4 linked regions of the Coturnix japonica genome follow. The protein of the gene in region 2 purifies or fractionates together with the protein of the main gene of each other region. This does not show direct contact. Links are inferred from orthologs where the notes say so. Each region holds a gene or a part of one and is shown on either strand. Other genes may lie near its edges. The genes, in order: CEP350, CEP43, PPP2R3C and PPP2CB.

Region 1 (3,563 bases), on a different chromosome or scaffold from region 2:
GGGGAAAAATACATTTGGGAATCACTATCAAACAATACCAGTATTAGCTTTATTTTTATTTGAGTATATTTTTAACAGTCAGTTGTTCCAGCTAACCTGTATGAAGCCAATGGTTCACGAAATTCCACCCGGCTGCTCTTTTTCACATTGCTTTCAAGGGTTGTTGCTCGAAGAGGACTGCGTGAGGATTTCTCCTTGCCTGATTTAGTTTGGCTGGAAGACCGGGAAGCTGAAACAGAAACCAGAGAACCCTTTATATATTTAACTCTCCAGAAGGAGAAAGCTCTTGGAGCTGAATGAGTAAGCAACACAGTTTTGGGGAGTTCAAGCAGCACTCCAAAAGAAAATGTAAAGTTCTCCCTTTCTTTTACTACAGTCTGATTGCAGTAACTAGGAGCATGCTTAGCAAGCGCTCCCTTTCAACACAACCCTTTCTATGATTCTATAATTTAACAAGAGACAATAATGCTTAAACATTAATTAGATGGAATTAAACCTATGTACGCTGTGTTGCCACTCAAAGTTGATCTACTACACGCACTGAAGAGTAAGTAGAGCATATACAATATAGGCATATACAATTGTTATCAAAACCCCAATAAAACAAGCTATCAAGATGAGATAAGCACTGATCACTCATAACGATAGGCAAGCCCTGTCATTCATTCTAGCCATACTGCAAATTTTAATTCCCAAGCTAAGAGAAGAAAATACTAGTTTATTCTGCACAATTAGTTTCTCATCAGTAGAGATCATTAGCAGAAGACACCCTGGACACTTGAAGGTTGGGTTGGTGGAGGAAAAGAATAAGGCTTTCCAGACTGCAGTGGCTTCACCCTGCATCGCATTCTACGCCATACATAATACATACCTTTCCTGCCTACTTTCCTGCTGGTACTACCAGAGGGCTTCTTGGCATCCATGACAGAATTAAACACAGCTGTGCTGGTGGGAGCTATTTCCAATTTGTTCTCTATATGACGTAGCTAGAATTTGAAGATTATGCATATTAAAATATTGCTTTCAAGTTTTTTCCCCACGTGTCATTTTTCCCCTCATTTTCATAAAGAATAAAAACCGTGGGCCAATAGCAACTTCACAATAGTTGTGTTGAAAAACTAGAGAGCTTTTGACCAGAAAAGTGGAAGATTATTAGGATTTGTTTAAAAAGATCATCTGAATTATGCTCTGTTATATAGATATGTTTCCATAAGTAAGCTGTTGTGAATAAATTAATGGCAATACATAATGATACAGGACTGTTCAACATGCATGCACTCCACAATCTCTTGCTTCATTTTCAACTTGTCTAACAGCAAACCACTGAACAAAGTAATATTTTCATTCCAACTATTCTAATTTGCAAAGCAGTTAAGAACGAGTACTTACAGCAGCCTTAGTCTGAGAAAGGGCAGTCCATCCTGCAGTTGGATCACGTATAGCAGAAGAAAAGAAATAAGTTACTTATTACTAAATGGAAAATAATGAAAGAAAATGCTGCTTGAGAACAATTTTCATTGGCTCGCTAATTGAGTTCTTTTAATGACTCAATTCCAGCCTGTAAATACCCTCGGTAAGAGGCTGTTATCAGCCATGATTCATCTTAACAGAGCAATAAGATATTTAATGTCAGATTTAATGAGTTCACTAAGTTACGCTGAATGCATTACAAGACTTGAAACCAGATCTACCACACATTATAGAAGATAACAAAGCCAGTTATCTACCCCAATACAAATATCTTAGATGAAGTAATGTTCATGAAGAGCAAAGCACAAGGCACTAATCAACTTCAGCCTTTTAATCCAAATAGCATGAGCTCTGCACAAAGCCCATGTCAGCAGGATACAGCAGTGCTTTCCTCTACAATTATTTACTTCTTCAGTTCACTTCTTTCTTTAAGAAATTATATATATATATAATTAAATGTGTGTGTGTGTGTGTGTGTTTGTATATATATATGTGTAATTACTTACAAACACAACGTCCAAAAACTTTAAGTGGATCAGAGCCATGGAGGACAGAAGTATTAAGAAATCTTAAATATATATACATTTTCCTTACAGTAAAAAAGCTGCTGATACCATCTAGGGCAAGATAAAACGATGCTAAGGAACAGGAGGGATAAGAAAGTAAGACAAAAATGACTGCTCTGCCTTTGAGAGATGGTGTTTCATGTCTACAGAGCCCCTCAGTTTCATAATGTACATAACTTGAAAAGAAACTGAATGTATCACAGGAGACAATCAATAATAATGTCCTCTTGTAGATAAAATATTCATCTGTACCTACTTTGAAATTTCTGGAGTCCAGTTTGGTCACAGTGAGGATCATATGCCTGATTGTGAACCACAGACTTAGCATGTGACTCAGCTGCTCTACCAGATGAGAGCCTTCTTCCTCTTAGGGATGTAATATACTTTTTTTTCCCCCCCCCTTTCAATTACAGACAAAATCACAACAGTAAAAGGTTCATTGGATTCCTCCAGCTCTAGGCAACTTAAGTGCTGCCAGGGATGATCTACTGCTTCTACTCAACAGTCTGCAGCTCTTCACCGCTTTGGAACTGAGCTAGAGGCAAGAGTAACTGCTTATCAGATGCTTCTTTCAGGAGCGTACAGTTCCCAACCTCTGTTCCTGCACTGTTCCCCCTCTACAACATTGGAAAAATAAATCTGTCTCTATGCCATCTTGGCAGCCACACCACAGGCTGGCAATTCCCAGCGCAGATCAGCAAATACTCTGCAGATCACAGTACCAAACTGCTACCTCTGCAGAAAATAAGTCATATAATACATGGTCTTAGCTCCCACAGTGAGGCAGAAGAATGCTGTCTATAAAAGCTCCATGAAGTTTCAAAGAAGCCATGATAAAAGACTTTTTACAGCAAAGAAATACAGTAGAGAGAGTCCATACCTCCAGTCGAATCCTTGGCTTGGTTATGCCTCAGATTCTGCTGAGGCACCTCACTGGACTTGTTGGTCCACATCATGTCAATTTATCTACAAAAAAATACATATAATCACATAAAAATTAAATAAATTGCATGCTAAAGGTAGTAAGACCTTGATCACTGGGATGAAATCACCATCATCAGGCTTGTAGCACCAAGAGAAACATGACAAAACACACTCAGTATATACATTTAGCATAAGAGAACTTGCAACCGTTTCTTAAGGGAACTCATTAACCCTCTCCAAGTAATTACTTGAGATTTACACTTATCCACTGAGTTACCAACATATACAGTGGATCTCAATCTGGGACTAGAATTGTCATCTCTATCAACACAGATATATACAGCTTCTTTTATGATGCCCTTGAAAACACAGTGTAGTGATATTCTCTATCTATTCCTAGATTATTTTAAGAAGATCAGGCTGAAAAAAGAAAAGAAGCATGAAACTATTTGTTCTTGTTGGCAACCCAGAACCTGAGTGGAGCAGATCACAAGTCAGACTGAAACAGTAAGCCCAATTTTAATATCAAATAGATATTAAACAAGCACTGGTTTCCACTCATAACGCCATGTGTAAGTGTAAAGGCTGGCTTTCCAGGTGTCC
Region 2 (4,360 bases):
CGTAGCATGTCTCTAGAGTATTTTACTATAGGAAATAGAAACACACAAGCATAGAGTGATCAAGGTGTCTTGTAAGCAAGCAAACATAGCATCGAGCTGTCTAACCACTAACGATTACTCCAGACTTAGAAACTATAAGCACCTGTATCCAAAGCTTGTACCAAGCTGGAGACTGCAGCTTCATTACCTCTGTCCTGTCACTCCCCAACTGCAAGGTTACTACCCCTAAGAAGAACCAGTAATTTGTACCCTCATTCCTCATCCATTTAAGCGAAAAAAACTTTACCATAGCAGCCTTCATTGGCTAAGTCACTAAACTTGATGGCAGTGTAATTAAAGGAATTATTTTTTTAATAGTATTTTTACTTCATCTCACAACACATTATCAGCCAGCACCGCAGCTATGCAGGGTTTGAATCAAATTAGCAAGAATCAGCTGACCAAAGCATTAACAGTCACGAGACATTCATAATGCTTTTATTCCTCAGATGTGTCGAAACAGCAAGTTCTAAGGATGCTGTAAAATTTCAGGCAGCATAAACCTTTTTTTCCCCCCAGATGGAAAGATACAGATCAAACAAAATAACAAGGGAATGCTATGAAAGCACAGTGGTTGTTTTTCCTTATATGACAACCCAATGAAAGATGTCCATACTCATAGCTGGGGTGTTGGACTAGATTATCTACAGTAGGACTTCTAACCTCATCCATCTTGAAAAATGCCAGTACTCATTTACAAAAACAAAAGAAACAACCATTTGATAACAACAGAGTGTAGCTATGCTTACCTTAGTTTAACAAAAAGACGATGGCTTTGGTAACCCTACTCAAAACACAGTTATGTGAACTCGAACCCTTCATCTCCTTTTGGAATTTAAATAGGGATTATACATTTGAAATGCAAGAGCAACACATTAGTAATGATGGTGCATTGTTGTACAGTATCACAGGGTGACCTCATTGCAGCCTTTCAGTACCTGAAGGGAACTTACACCCAGGAGGGCAGTAAACTCTTCGAAAGGGCTGACAATATCAGGACACGGGGAAATGGTTTTAAGTTAAAAGAGGGAAGATTTAGGTTGGATGTTAGGGGGAAGTTCTTTACTAAGAGAGTGGTTAGGCCCTGGAACAGGCTGCCCAGGGAGGTTGTGGATGCCCCGTCCTTGGAGGTGTTCAAGACCAGGTTGGACGGGGCCCTGGGCAACCTGATCTAGTAAAGGTGTATGTTTGGTGGCCCTGCCAGGCAGGGGGGTTGGAACTACATGATCCTTGAGGTCCCTTCCAACCTGGGTCATTCTGTGATTCTGTGATCACAGGTAGCCAATACTCACTGGGCTTCTAAGTACAGACACAAGGATGTGCTCACTTCCATCAACCATTTCAGCTGTTCATATATTCCTGGAATACCAATCATGATTGTCCACTCATTAAAATGCTTCAAGTAGAATTCTGTGGATAAATGCCACCATTCTTAATTTGAAATCCAAGCTTCTTTTCTCCCCGATCTTACAATGAGATTCAACAGTTCTCATCCCTGATATCTGCGTGGCTCTTTGTTGTATGTAACAGTTATTGCTGAAAGCTTTGAGTGTGAATCCACAGAACCCAATTCTGTACCCTTGCTGACACAAGTCCAGGCTAAAGGCTTGCAAACCAACTACACTTCATCACAGAATCACAGAATGACCCGGGTTGGAAGGGACCTCAAGGATCATGTAGTTCCAACCCCCCTGCCTGGCAGGGCCACCAAACATACACCTTTACTAGATCAGGTTGCCCAGGGCCCCGTCCAACCTGGTCTTGAACACCTCCAAGGACGGGGCATCCACAACCTCCCTGGGCAGCCTGTTCCAGGGCCTAACCACTCTCCTAGTGAAGAACTTCCCCCTAACATCCAACCTAAATCTTCCCTCTTTCAACTTAAAGCCATTTCTCCTAGGAAACAGGGGATCACAACAGTCAATGCTTTTTAATACAGCATTAGTAGGCAGACAGCATACACAGGCCCTTCTTAGGTTCAGCCAATTTCCAAGACACAACTCCACCACCCTACACACCTATGTTTAAACAGCGAGCCTCGAGGCCTCCGGCTTAAGATAACCAAGCTGAAGATAACCAATAGCATCTTTTAGCGTGGAAGAGAAAGGAAATTCTGCGAGCTCCGTCCAGCTCGGCTCGGCGGGTTGGACAGCAGCAGGAAAGCAGCGCAGTGGCTTCGGCAGACACGCTGCACTCAATGCAAGAGAGGGCACAGCCGCCAGGCCGCTCTCCGCCGAGCAGCCCGTAGGCCAGGCCCGCAGCAGCTCTATTTCGCTGGACGCGGCTCCTCGCCAAGCCCCGGCCCGAGCGGGCTATAGGCAGCGCCGGGAGGGCGGGCGCCGCCGCCAGGCCGTGACAGCCGGGTGGGCCTGTACCGGCGCGAGGGGACGCAGCCTGCCGAGCACCCACACGCCCCGAGGTGTAGTAGCAGGGCCGGCACCGGCAGCGCAACCCGCACGGCACCGCGAGAGCGCTGCGCAACGAGGAGAGGCCTTCCCGTCGCACCTTGATTTTATTGAGCACCCCGCTGCTCTCCAGCGTCTGCACCAGCAGGTCCCGCAGCTCCGTGTCCTCCTCCGCCGCTGCCGCCGCCATCTTGTTTCTCCCTGACAACCGCCCAAACCGCGCTATCGGCGGGACGGGCCCGGCAGATTCGCCGCCGCCGCAGGAGGCACACACACACACACAGCGGCTGGTCCGAGGGCACGGGGCGCAGCGGGACAGAGGCTACCTACAAAAGCGAGCCCGGTAAGACGCAGCAGCGCCCCGGCCAACCGGCTCTTCTGCGGCCGCAGCACCGTGGAAACTGCGGCGGCGAACGCGCAACGCAACCGCCACTGGGAGCGGGGCGCGGGAAGTTCAAAGCGGCAGCGGCCGGTGAGATCCGCGACCGTACGCGGCCCTCAGAGCCAAAAGGGCGGGCACTAAGGGACAGCGAGCCGACACTGCCCTGCTGCTGCTGCACGGCCGCATAGGAAGGCTGGGGGGAGTCTAAGATGTGATGCATAGTAAACAGCCGCAATAATTGATTTTGGAATTCATCTATTTACCCCAGGCCGAGCTTTTTCGTAGTTTCACTTGAAAAGATCTAAACGTTTTCATGAAGAACTTCGGAATTTACGGCTATCCAGGGAATGTAAGAAAGAAATGCATGAAATGAGGCGTTGTGGGAAGAGGATCCAATTCTGGAGGACAGGAGTAAACTCTTTGAAAGGGCTGACAATAGCAGGACACGGGGAAATGGTTTTAAGTTAAAAGAGGGAAGATTTAGGTTGGATGCTAGGGGCAAGTTCTTCACTAGGAGAGTGGTTAGGCCCTGGAACAGGCTGCCCAGGGAGGTTGTGGATGCCCCGTCCTTGGAGGTGTTCAAGACCAGGTTGGACGGGGCCCTGGGCAACCTGATCTAGTAAAGGTGTATGTTTGGTGGCCCTGCCAGGCAGGGGGGTTGGAATTACATGATCCTTGAGGTCCCTTCCAACCCGGGTCATTCTGTGATTCTGTGTGTGATTCTGTGACGTGCAGCAGGTGGCAGCAGTTCTGCGGCGATCCCTTAAGACATAGTGAGCTCCACCAGGTGTGATAGTAGGAGTCCTGCAGCTGGAGACAATGACCGTCTTTCACCTCAGCACAAGGTTGAACCCTAGTAAATCCCACAGCACTGCATTTTTATTATTATTTAAAGCAGATAATAGTTCAGTTCCAGCTTCTCAAAGCCCCATCAGAAGCAAGACATAAGTGTAGAAACATACTACCTGCTATTATCTACACCATTTCATTCCTCTGATACAACTCCAGACCTAATAAAGAGATCTAAAAGGTGCTTCGGGATCATTCTTTTTTAATAATATCTTTTGCAAACAGAGACAAAACTCAAAACATTCACCTGACTGTACCATGTGCTTTGTGATAGCACAACATAAATTAACCAGAGAAATAAGAGGCATTACTTTCAGAGCACTCCTCCTATTTCACTATGTTGGCCCATGACATCATTCAGTAGAGGCTGAACGTTCCCACCAACTTTCCATTACGTTTTGTTGCCATGCAACAGGTGGTAGCAGTGGGGCAGTCTGACAAAATGGTGTCTGATATGGAAATGAATACGAAGCAAAGATATGGAACCGAATTCCTCCATGGAGAAGGGAAAAAAAAAGGCACCCAGTGCCATTCATTGATGATTCCTGGGTATTTATGGAGACCAAAAAGTGGATGTGAGAACAGTGAGGTGATGAGCAATCACGACATGAAAGACAAGCCACATTCTGGATGGCTCCCAGAGCTGACCGGGTCCTTTCCCCAGAGGCTCAATCAATGGTTCAGG
Region 3 (3,563 bases), on a different chromosome or scaffold from region 2:
AGATTCACCTCTACTACCCTGCAATTAAATACATATCAACCTCAAAACTACAATACTCTATAGGTAAATTATGAAACGTTTATTCACATATTTCATGTAGTACTCTATTTGGGAATACTGACCTTGACATCCTGAAAAGAAACTGGTTCTTGTCCATGGATTTTCATTTGTTCCTGAATAGCCTAAAAAAGAAAAGTTAGAAATATGCAGTGCAGTGTTCTACTGATACTGTATGATACCTTCTAACATGCTTCTGCTTGTTAAGATGCATTGCTGTGTGACAAGGCATTAATAGAACAGCTTGCAATCGGTTCTCTTTCACACATAAGGCAGTGGTGAGTTAAGGTACAACCAGTGATGTGCATTTCCAAGTCCACAATCCTTAGTATAATAAGAATCCAGCTTCTATTATGACCAACATTTGAGCATTTGGAAGACAGGATATGCAGACACTCATATCACCTATTACTCAAGATAGGAATATATTCAAATCAGGAAATTCATTACTGACATATTCAGGGAGGTACTATTTACAAGGGCATGTAGCAACACAATGAGGGAAAATGGCTTTAAACTGGAAGTGGACCAGATATTAGGAAGAAATTCTTTCCTGTGAGGGTGGTGAGGCACTGGCATGGGCTGCACAGCCAAATTGTGGATGCCCCCTCCTTGGAAGTGCTTGAGGGATGGGGCTTTGAGCACCCTGGTCTAGAGGGAGCTGTCCCTGCCTATAGCAGGGCAGTTGGAACTACATGATCTTAAAGGTGCCTTCCAACCCAAACCACTATATGATTCTAAAAATTGTCAAGTAATATGGAGTATGACACAAGCGAGAAGCTTTTTGCAATGATGACCTGGGATGAAAAATCCCACAGCCTTACAGGCCATTGCTGTATTTCAGCATTTTCCTTTATTGTACCACATTTTAGGATTACAGTGGAAACTAAAAGCATGAGCAACAGTCAACTAGAACTATCATAAGTGATTTTAACAAGTAATCATTACATATATATATAATTTTATTTTTTAAGCAACAACATTTTTTCCTAGATTAAATCAAAACAGTTAATTTCAACTGCAGAAAAACAATGCTGAATGCCTTTTGAATTCTTTCCAAGTTCTGGAATATATTTTTTAGTGTTTTAAATCTTCTTACAAGCAGTTACTGGCTTCCCAGTGGGTACTGGTAATTTAAAGGGACTCCCTGCAGATCTGCATGCAGAAGCACACAGGCTATAACACCATAAACACAGAAAATGGCCTACCTGTATAAAGGGACTTACCCTAAAGAAATAATTAAGGGAAAAGACATTCAGGTATCCTTTGTTCTCAATGTCAAGCAGTTTGAAAATATATTGCAGAGCTGCAGGCTCCTTTCTGTTTTCTAATGCAAGTACAAAGTCCAGGTAGGTTTTATAGTCCTAAAAGTAGATACAATCATGTTTATTACAGTCTTCTTTCTAAATTGATTTTGCAAGCAGGAACATTATAATTGCCAGCTATTTCATTGTAGGGGATCAGTCTATTTTCTGAAAAAGACAAAATAAAATGGAAAATGGCTGCTACCACCAACATGAACAGAAAAGTTAGTTCCTAGTGACTGCTGAGGAGAGGAAATCTTGCCATTTTTAGATGTAAAACAGTATTCCAAACATAAATCCAAATGAAACAGGCTATATATACTTTAAAAAATGTTCATTACATCTTTAGAACACTGAACATACCTAATCAGTTAAGAAAAGCCGTAACAGTTTTCATTAGCACAAATTACAAGTGTTCAGAGGTAATAATCCCAGTATTATCCAAGAGCGAACCATCTGACCAGCTGAAGTACACAATCCTTAGACCAGAGAAGTTGTTTGATAATTTGTGTGGTTGAAGCATTAATAAACCGCACAGATATGTGCCTTCCTTATGTTTTCCTTTGTTGCTTACACCAATTTTTTGTTTCCTGATCAAGCTACAGTGGTGATAATTAAAGACAGAAAGCCTGCAGTCTTTTGTGTGTAACATCCATGTCTACCTTAAACATCAGAGGGTTGTGCTACCACTCAGAAGGACTTCAGCAGGCTGGAGAAACGGGCATCACACTGTGTTCAGAGAGAATACAAAGTGCTGCAAAAAAGGAGGAATAACCACATGCACCAGCACATGCTGGGGGCTAACCAGCCAGAAAGTAGCTTTGCATAGAATAAGCTGAGAGCCTTGATGGGCAACAAAGCTGAATATACATATGCAATGAGCCCTTGAAGCAAAGGCAACTGACAACAGCATTTTGAGCTGCATGAGGAAGAGTTTTACTGGCAAGTCAGCGAAGACAATGATTCTCTGCTTACCACTGGTTAGCCTGCATCTGAGTGCTACTCTCTGTTCTGGACTCTTGAGTGCAAAAGAGGTAAGGAACTATTAAAGCAAGTCAAACAAAGGGAAACTAAGAGGACTTCTAAGCTCAATGATTCAGCGATTCTACAAAAAATTACTAAGTGGGCAGCAATGTTATATAGTAAACTGGAGTTTAGCACATTTTAGAGGTAATTAATCATCTGAAAACAGATGTATTAGAAGTAGTGATACAGTACATAAAGCTTTCAAAATATACAGCACAGATATTTTTCATTTTAACTCTAATTTGGTTAGATTTCTCATGCTTCACAGCTAGGCAAAGTCTGCAATAAAAAAAATACACTACAGTCTTCATGAAGAAATGTACAGATTAGCTGATTAGCAATGTGCATATACATTAGCTGATAGTCCCAAGTGTGCCACTTGCCCTTGTCTCTCTTTCAAGAATTAAATTCCCTCTAAAAACATACATCTATCCTTTCTCAATGTGCACTTTACATATAGAACATACAAGTGGAAGAGAAGCTTTCTCCTGTGCTACCTGGATTCTGTACCATTGCTGCTTTTCAAAATGAGAAAGTTGTCTTCCAACTACACTGCAATCATCCTGATATTAAAAGTTTATTTGCTAATCTAACAAAGACCAACAAAAAGTTACTCTACCTCAAGCTACTCTTTTTGAAAAAGATACCGACTGTTGGACATTTCCCTTATTAATAAGTAAAAACTTCAATACTGTGAACAGAGTAAGATCACGCAATTACCATTTCTCCATCATAAGTTAGGCATTCCTGAAAGACACGGTCCAGGAATATGTTGGTCAGGGTCCCTGTTCCATACCGGGACAGCTCTTCTTTGCTGAGCATGCCATTGTGATCTTTATCAAGGTTTAAGTACTGTCCTAGGAAGGAAACAGATGACAAAATATAGCATCCCTATAGAAACAATAAAGCGTTTCAATGGAGAAGGAAAATTCAGCACATTTAACATTGAATTAATTTTTAACCATAGAAGTTAGTTAAGTGGGAGTAAGCTGGAACCACAAAAATATTCATGGATCATCATAATGAGCAATGGGAATAGTGGGGGTGAAGAAGGGGGTTTCCAAAACTTCAGGCTTCTAATAGCTCCATTGTAAAGTAAGGGCTCAAAAGTAAAGGCTGCTTATACTGGGAAGGAGCACAAGCCTGAGAAATACAGTATTTTTAATGGATTTGTTG
Region 4 (4,293 bases), on a different chromosome or scaffold from region 2:
GAGAGACATAGAAATGTGTCCGTCTGTGAGGGGCAATAATTTTAACCAAGACCCAGAATATAAATCTGCCTCTCGCATCTTCTCCCCAGGGCTTTTCAACCTTATGTCCTCTTTCACCAGTGTTTCATAATTACACCCTTCAAAATGGTAAGTGCACAAGAGAAGAATCGCTGCATTTCAGTATACTTAACAGTTAAGAGATAAGACTGTTATTAATGTTTCCTGGAGGCTAAGTAATTTCTGATGTTGGTGTTTTGCATTTTAGAAAGAAATGATTTATTGTGATGAACTCACTGAAAACAGCAGCCAAAAGCTGTGGACATCTAATGATGTTCACAGAAGGAGACCTAGCAAAATCTTTTCTTCCTCCTCAGAAAGGCAGACAACACCGTCTTGGTTTTTCAGTACCATGCATTAACAAGGCATTTGCATTGGTTACTAGAGATGGTACAAAGGAAGGCAGCACTCACAAGTGGTTGCAAGCCTTTTTTCCCATGCATCTTCAGGTACAGAATCCAGTCTGTGAGTAGATGAAATTAAAGGAACAACAGTGCCCATTTCTGCCTCCCTGTAGCCTCAAATGGGAGGCAGCAAGTTCTGCTCAGTTCCTGGGAGTGCCAAGCATCCTCACACCACCCTGAATAATGTATATTTGTTTCCTCAGATGATGTATTGTGCCCCATCAAGTGCAACCACCCAATACTGCCTCTCCCACAAGTGTGCTGGGACTCAGCAGAGCCGCTGCAGAAGAGGTGTGCAAGACTGTGTCAGGTGCTAGGGGTACCAGGGAGAGCCCATGCAGCATGGGGGGTGAATGTGAGGGCTGTGCTGTGCACGGGTGATATGCAGGGAGGAGATATAGGAGCGCTGGAGTGAATACCACACCAGCAGGACCCTGTGGAGGGTTGGGTGACTTCTCTTAGGCACATACCTCTTTCCAGCACGTCAGCATCAACCTCAGCACTGCGTGGAGCCATCCGGTCCAGGTGGAAAACATCTTCCAGGTGCATAACACAGTGGGGCTGAAGTTACACCGCCCTGGTGTCCTCACCAAGGACCAGGTGGAAGCATTACAAATGCTTTATGGATCTGGTTGCTTAAGTCTTAATTTACGAGACTGAGAAGTAGAATTCCCTCAGGGCTCCCTTTTGGTGAGATAGTGGGAGAGTCCCAGTTGGTTTCAGCGGTCCAGGGGCTCTCTTGGCTGAGTCTTCCAAGCTGTTCACAGCTCACAAAAGGCATCATTTATGAGTACAGAATGGCAGAGGACTTTTAGGAGCAACTAAACAAACTGTATTTGTGTAAATACATGACTCCCTTTGACTCTGCTGAACGCACTTTCAGTTGCACAGCTCGCTATAGGCGCACAGCGCTCTAACCCCTTTGACTCCCAGCTCCACCTGAGGGACGGACCGTTACGCCCGTCGCGAGGCGCCGCGCACGCGCAGTGCCGGAGCGGAAGCGCGGGCGGGGGCGGCGGCAGACGGAAGTGCGCAGGGCCGGGGGCCGCCATTCCGGGAGCGCAGCAGGCCGCGCGCCCCCGCCGTTGCGCCGGCAGCCTCAGGCGGGACCGGGCCTCGCGGGCGCCCAGTGCGGGGGGGGCCCGGCCCCGGCCGGCAGCGCCGCCATGGAGGAGAAGAGCTTCGCCAAGGAGCTGGACCAGTGGATCGAGCAGCTGAACGAGTGCCGGCAGCTGAGCGAGAGCCAGGTCCGCAGCCTCTGCGAGAAGGTGAGTGAGGCGGGGAGAGGCGGCCCGGCGCTGGGGCCGGCCGTGCCGAAGATGGCCGTGCGAGGCCTGGAGCTGCGGCCGGCTGGAGGGGGCTCGGCTGTGCCTCGGGGCCGGCCGTCGTGGCCCGCCCGGCGCTGCCCGCATGGCGGATCACTGCGAGAAGCGCCGGCTGTAGAACGGCGCCGAGCCGGAGCGCGGCCGTCGGCCCGCAGCCGTGGGGAAAGCCCTGACGTGTGATGAGGGGCAGCGGGTGGGCTGTGCTGCCGCCTTAAAGACAGGCCTACGTTGTGGGGAGGGAGGCCGGGATAGAGCAGGAAGTGGTTGGAGAGGTAATATAGTTTGCCGCAAAGAGCCTTTTCTCCTGTCAGGAGACAGGTTTGGGTGGCTTTTGTCTGAGAAGTTAAATGCCTGTGTGCGAGCATAACCATCCATACTGCAGTGTATAGCTGAGCTAGGATCTGCTTGAATGTACGAGCTGTGACAAGGCCAAGGAGCTGAGGTGGGCTCAGCACAGCAGCTCAGATTGTGTTCTCTATGTACCTCAGTGACAGCAGGGACTATTGCCGTGCACTGGATCAGCTGGTAACTGCTCTGCCTCATGTGCCTGACAGCTAGTTCATTGGTCCCTGTACTGTTTGTATTGCTGATAGCGAGCTAGGTTTTGTGTTGTCATTACCTGTGTCTCACTGAGCTCTTGCAGAAGCAGGTGATCTGTTGTGGTGCCTGTTCCTGGCATTCTGGCCAGTGGCAGCTTTCAGAAGATGGAACTATTTCTTTTTTCTTTTCCCCCCAAGTCTTCAGTAGGCCACCGCAGCAATAGGTTTGAACAGTAGAGAGAGCCTGCACCACCGCCTTATAGCATGCTAGGAGTGCCCTTCAAAAGGTAGGAGCTGAGTGTCACAGGCAGATATTTGTTAGAAGTCAAAGCCGTGGCTGCCTGACATACACTTTTACTAGTAGTCCTGGATTGTCTGGCTGCACACTGGCCTGTTTCTCCCATTCTGTTTTTTTACCCACGCTGTAACTGCCCATTTGCTTTATGGCTTTTTCTGCACTCACCAAGCTGGGACAATTGTGAGAAGGGCTGGTGCTGCAGCAGGGAGCAATTGAAGAGCCTTGAGATGTAGATGTCTTCAAAAGAGTGAGCTTCTTGTAGCTGTGCTGTCGTTTGAAGTCCAGCTGATGAGCCTGAAAGAATTGATTTGCAGTTCAGAACAGCAAGAGTTCTGAACTGCTGCACCAACCACCAAGCTGCTAAATAATAATAATAATAATAATAATAATAATAATAATAATAATAATAATAATAATAGTAATAATTCCCTTCTTAATTAACAGCAAAGCCAAAGAAGGAGCTGTGGCTGCTGTGCTTTCAGAAGCTGGATGGTATGATCAGTAGGTTGTATTGCAGTCAGTGGCTGCAAAGCAGGGAGAGGTGCCAAGTGGAGAGCACAGCTGCAGGTGAAAGGAATGTCAGTCCTCCAAAATGACGGGTAGGATGTGAACCATGCGAACCTGTGAGGCACAGCATGTTTGCTCGGAAATAAATGTAAGCTATTGGAGCATCTGGTTTTCAGGTAGCGTTGGTAACTGATCTGCAGCGCTGTCAGAAAGCTTGGGTTGCTTCCCCAAGATAATACTTGGAGAAACCCTTAACAACCTTTCTGGTCATATGCAATAGTAACTCTTGCTTTAGTTTTTAAATTAGTAATAGTATTAGGTGGTTAAAATGGGGGGGCGGGGGGGAAATAAAATAAAAAAAATACTCTGAAAGTTTTCTATGAAAGCATGGGATACAAAACCAAATTGAGTCCCAGACTTACCTGTGTGTATCGTTCTTGGTTTCACTTGCTGGCCTCACAGACAGTGAGGAGGGAAGGACTGGAGATAGTTGGCTCACACAGGGGATAGCAGCTGTTCTTCTCTCAGAAAGCTTTTGATAATTGCACCTGTAGAATCACTGTAAATTGATCTGCCTGGTTATGACATAACTGGCAGCTAATCCATCTTAGAGTCTTTGTAGAATTAATCAAGATGTCATCTGGTGATAACATTAAAACACTTCCTGTTCTGCTGCTCTTAAAATGAAAACTAAAGTCATGCTGATATTTAGTATGTAATAGAAAAACAAACAATTATTGTCACTACTGGAGCTTCCAGGCACCAGAAATGTTTCCAGCCCATCAGGGAAATGAACATTAGGCTTCTTGCATCTCTTACTGTTTAACTTTATTATTGTAGATCATCTGAGTAGATGAAGGTTGTTAAAAGCCTTTTTTTTTTTTCCCCCATTAAATAGGCAGTGAGAAAATCTTTAGAGCTCAGTCTTGGATGCTGTCTGCACTTAATCAGAAGTGCAGTGGCACGTTTTGTATCCGTGGTTGTGCTGCCTTTGAATTTGGGTACTGACAGAAGGGTAGCACTTAATGCATGGAACTCCTTTTGATCCCGCGTGGGTACTGCTGCCCCTCATTACCTGCACTTTGAGCAGCTACAGCCAGGCTGAAAGACTGAGGAGGTGGATTCATTTTAACAGGAACTGCTCTCAAGGTTGGACGTGAAAA

The links.
Region 1: the proteins of CEP43 (region 2) and CEP350 purify together in Homo sapiens (affinity purification with mass spectrometry; 6 studies listed by BioGRID and IntAct, counting the BioPlex papers as one, with this or other methods). This does not show direct contact. The link is inferred for Coturnix japonica from reciprocal best matches to the Homo sapiens genes CEP43 and CEP350.
Region 3: the proteins of CEP43 (region 2) and PPP2R3C purify together in Homo sapiens (affinity purification with mass spectrometry; 3 studies listed by BioGRID and IntAct, counting the BioPlex papers as one, with this or other methods). This does not show direct contact. The link is inferred for Coturnix japonica from reciprocal best matches to the Homo sapiens genes CEP43 and PPP2R3C.
Region 4: the proteins of CEP43 (region 2) and PPP2CB purify together in Homo sapiens (affinity purification with mass spectrometry; 4 studies listed by BioGRID and IntAct, counting the BioPlex papers as one, with this or other methods). This does not show direct contact. The link is inferred for Coturnix japonica from reciprocal best matches to the Homo sapiens genes CEP43 and PPP2CB.

Annotation. Positions count from the first base shown.
Region 1 is NC_029523.1:5,670,165-5,673,727, reverse strand, and holds part of CEP350 (centrosome-associated protein 350), read right to left. Parts: intron 3,003-3,563; 5' UTR 2,993-3,002; coding exon 2,917-2,992; intron 1,422-2,916; coding exon 1,390-1,421; intron 987-1,389; coding exon 872-986; intron 230-871; coding exon 97-229; intron 1-96. UniProt on the Homo sapiens protein: Plays an essential role in centriole growth by stabilizing a procentriolar seed composed of at least, SASS6 and CPAP. Required for anchoring microtubules to the centrosomes and for the integrity of the microtubule network.
Region 2 is NC_029518.1:38,164,657-38,169,016, forward strand, and holds the start of CEP43 (FGFR1 oncogene partner), read right to left. Parts: upstream 2,836-4,360; 5' UTR 2,635-2,835; coding exon 2,545-2,634; intron 1-2,544. UniProt on the Homo sapiens protein: Required for anchoring microtubules to the centrosomes. Required for ciliation.
Region 3 is NC_029520.1:32,708,501-32,712,063, forward strand, and holds part of PPP2R3C (serine/threonine-protein phosphatase 2A regulatory subunit B'' subunit gamma), read right to left. Parts: intron 3,245-3,563; coding exon 3,108-3,244; intron 1,422-3,107; coding exon 1,284-1,421; intron 183-1,283; coding exon 123-182; intron 1-122. UniProt on the Homo sapiens protein: May regulate MCM3AP phosphorylation through phosphatase recruitment. May act as a negative regulator of ABCB1 expression and function through the dephosphorylation of ABCB1 by TFPI2/PPP2R3C complex.
Region 4 is NC_029519.1:30,568,963-30,573,255, reverse strand, and holds the start of PPP2CB (serine/threonine-protein phosphatase 2A catalytic subunit beta isoform), read left to right. Parts: upstream 1-1,489; 5' UTR 1,490-1,627; coding exon 1,628-1,729; exon of another isoform or gene 1,730-2,917; intron 2,918-3,552; exon of another isoform or gene 3,553-4,293.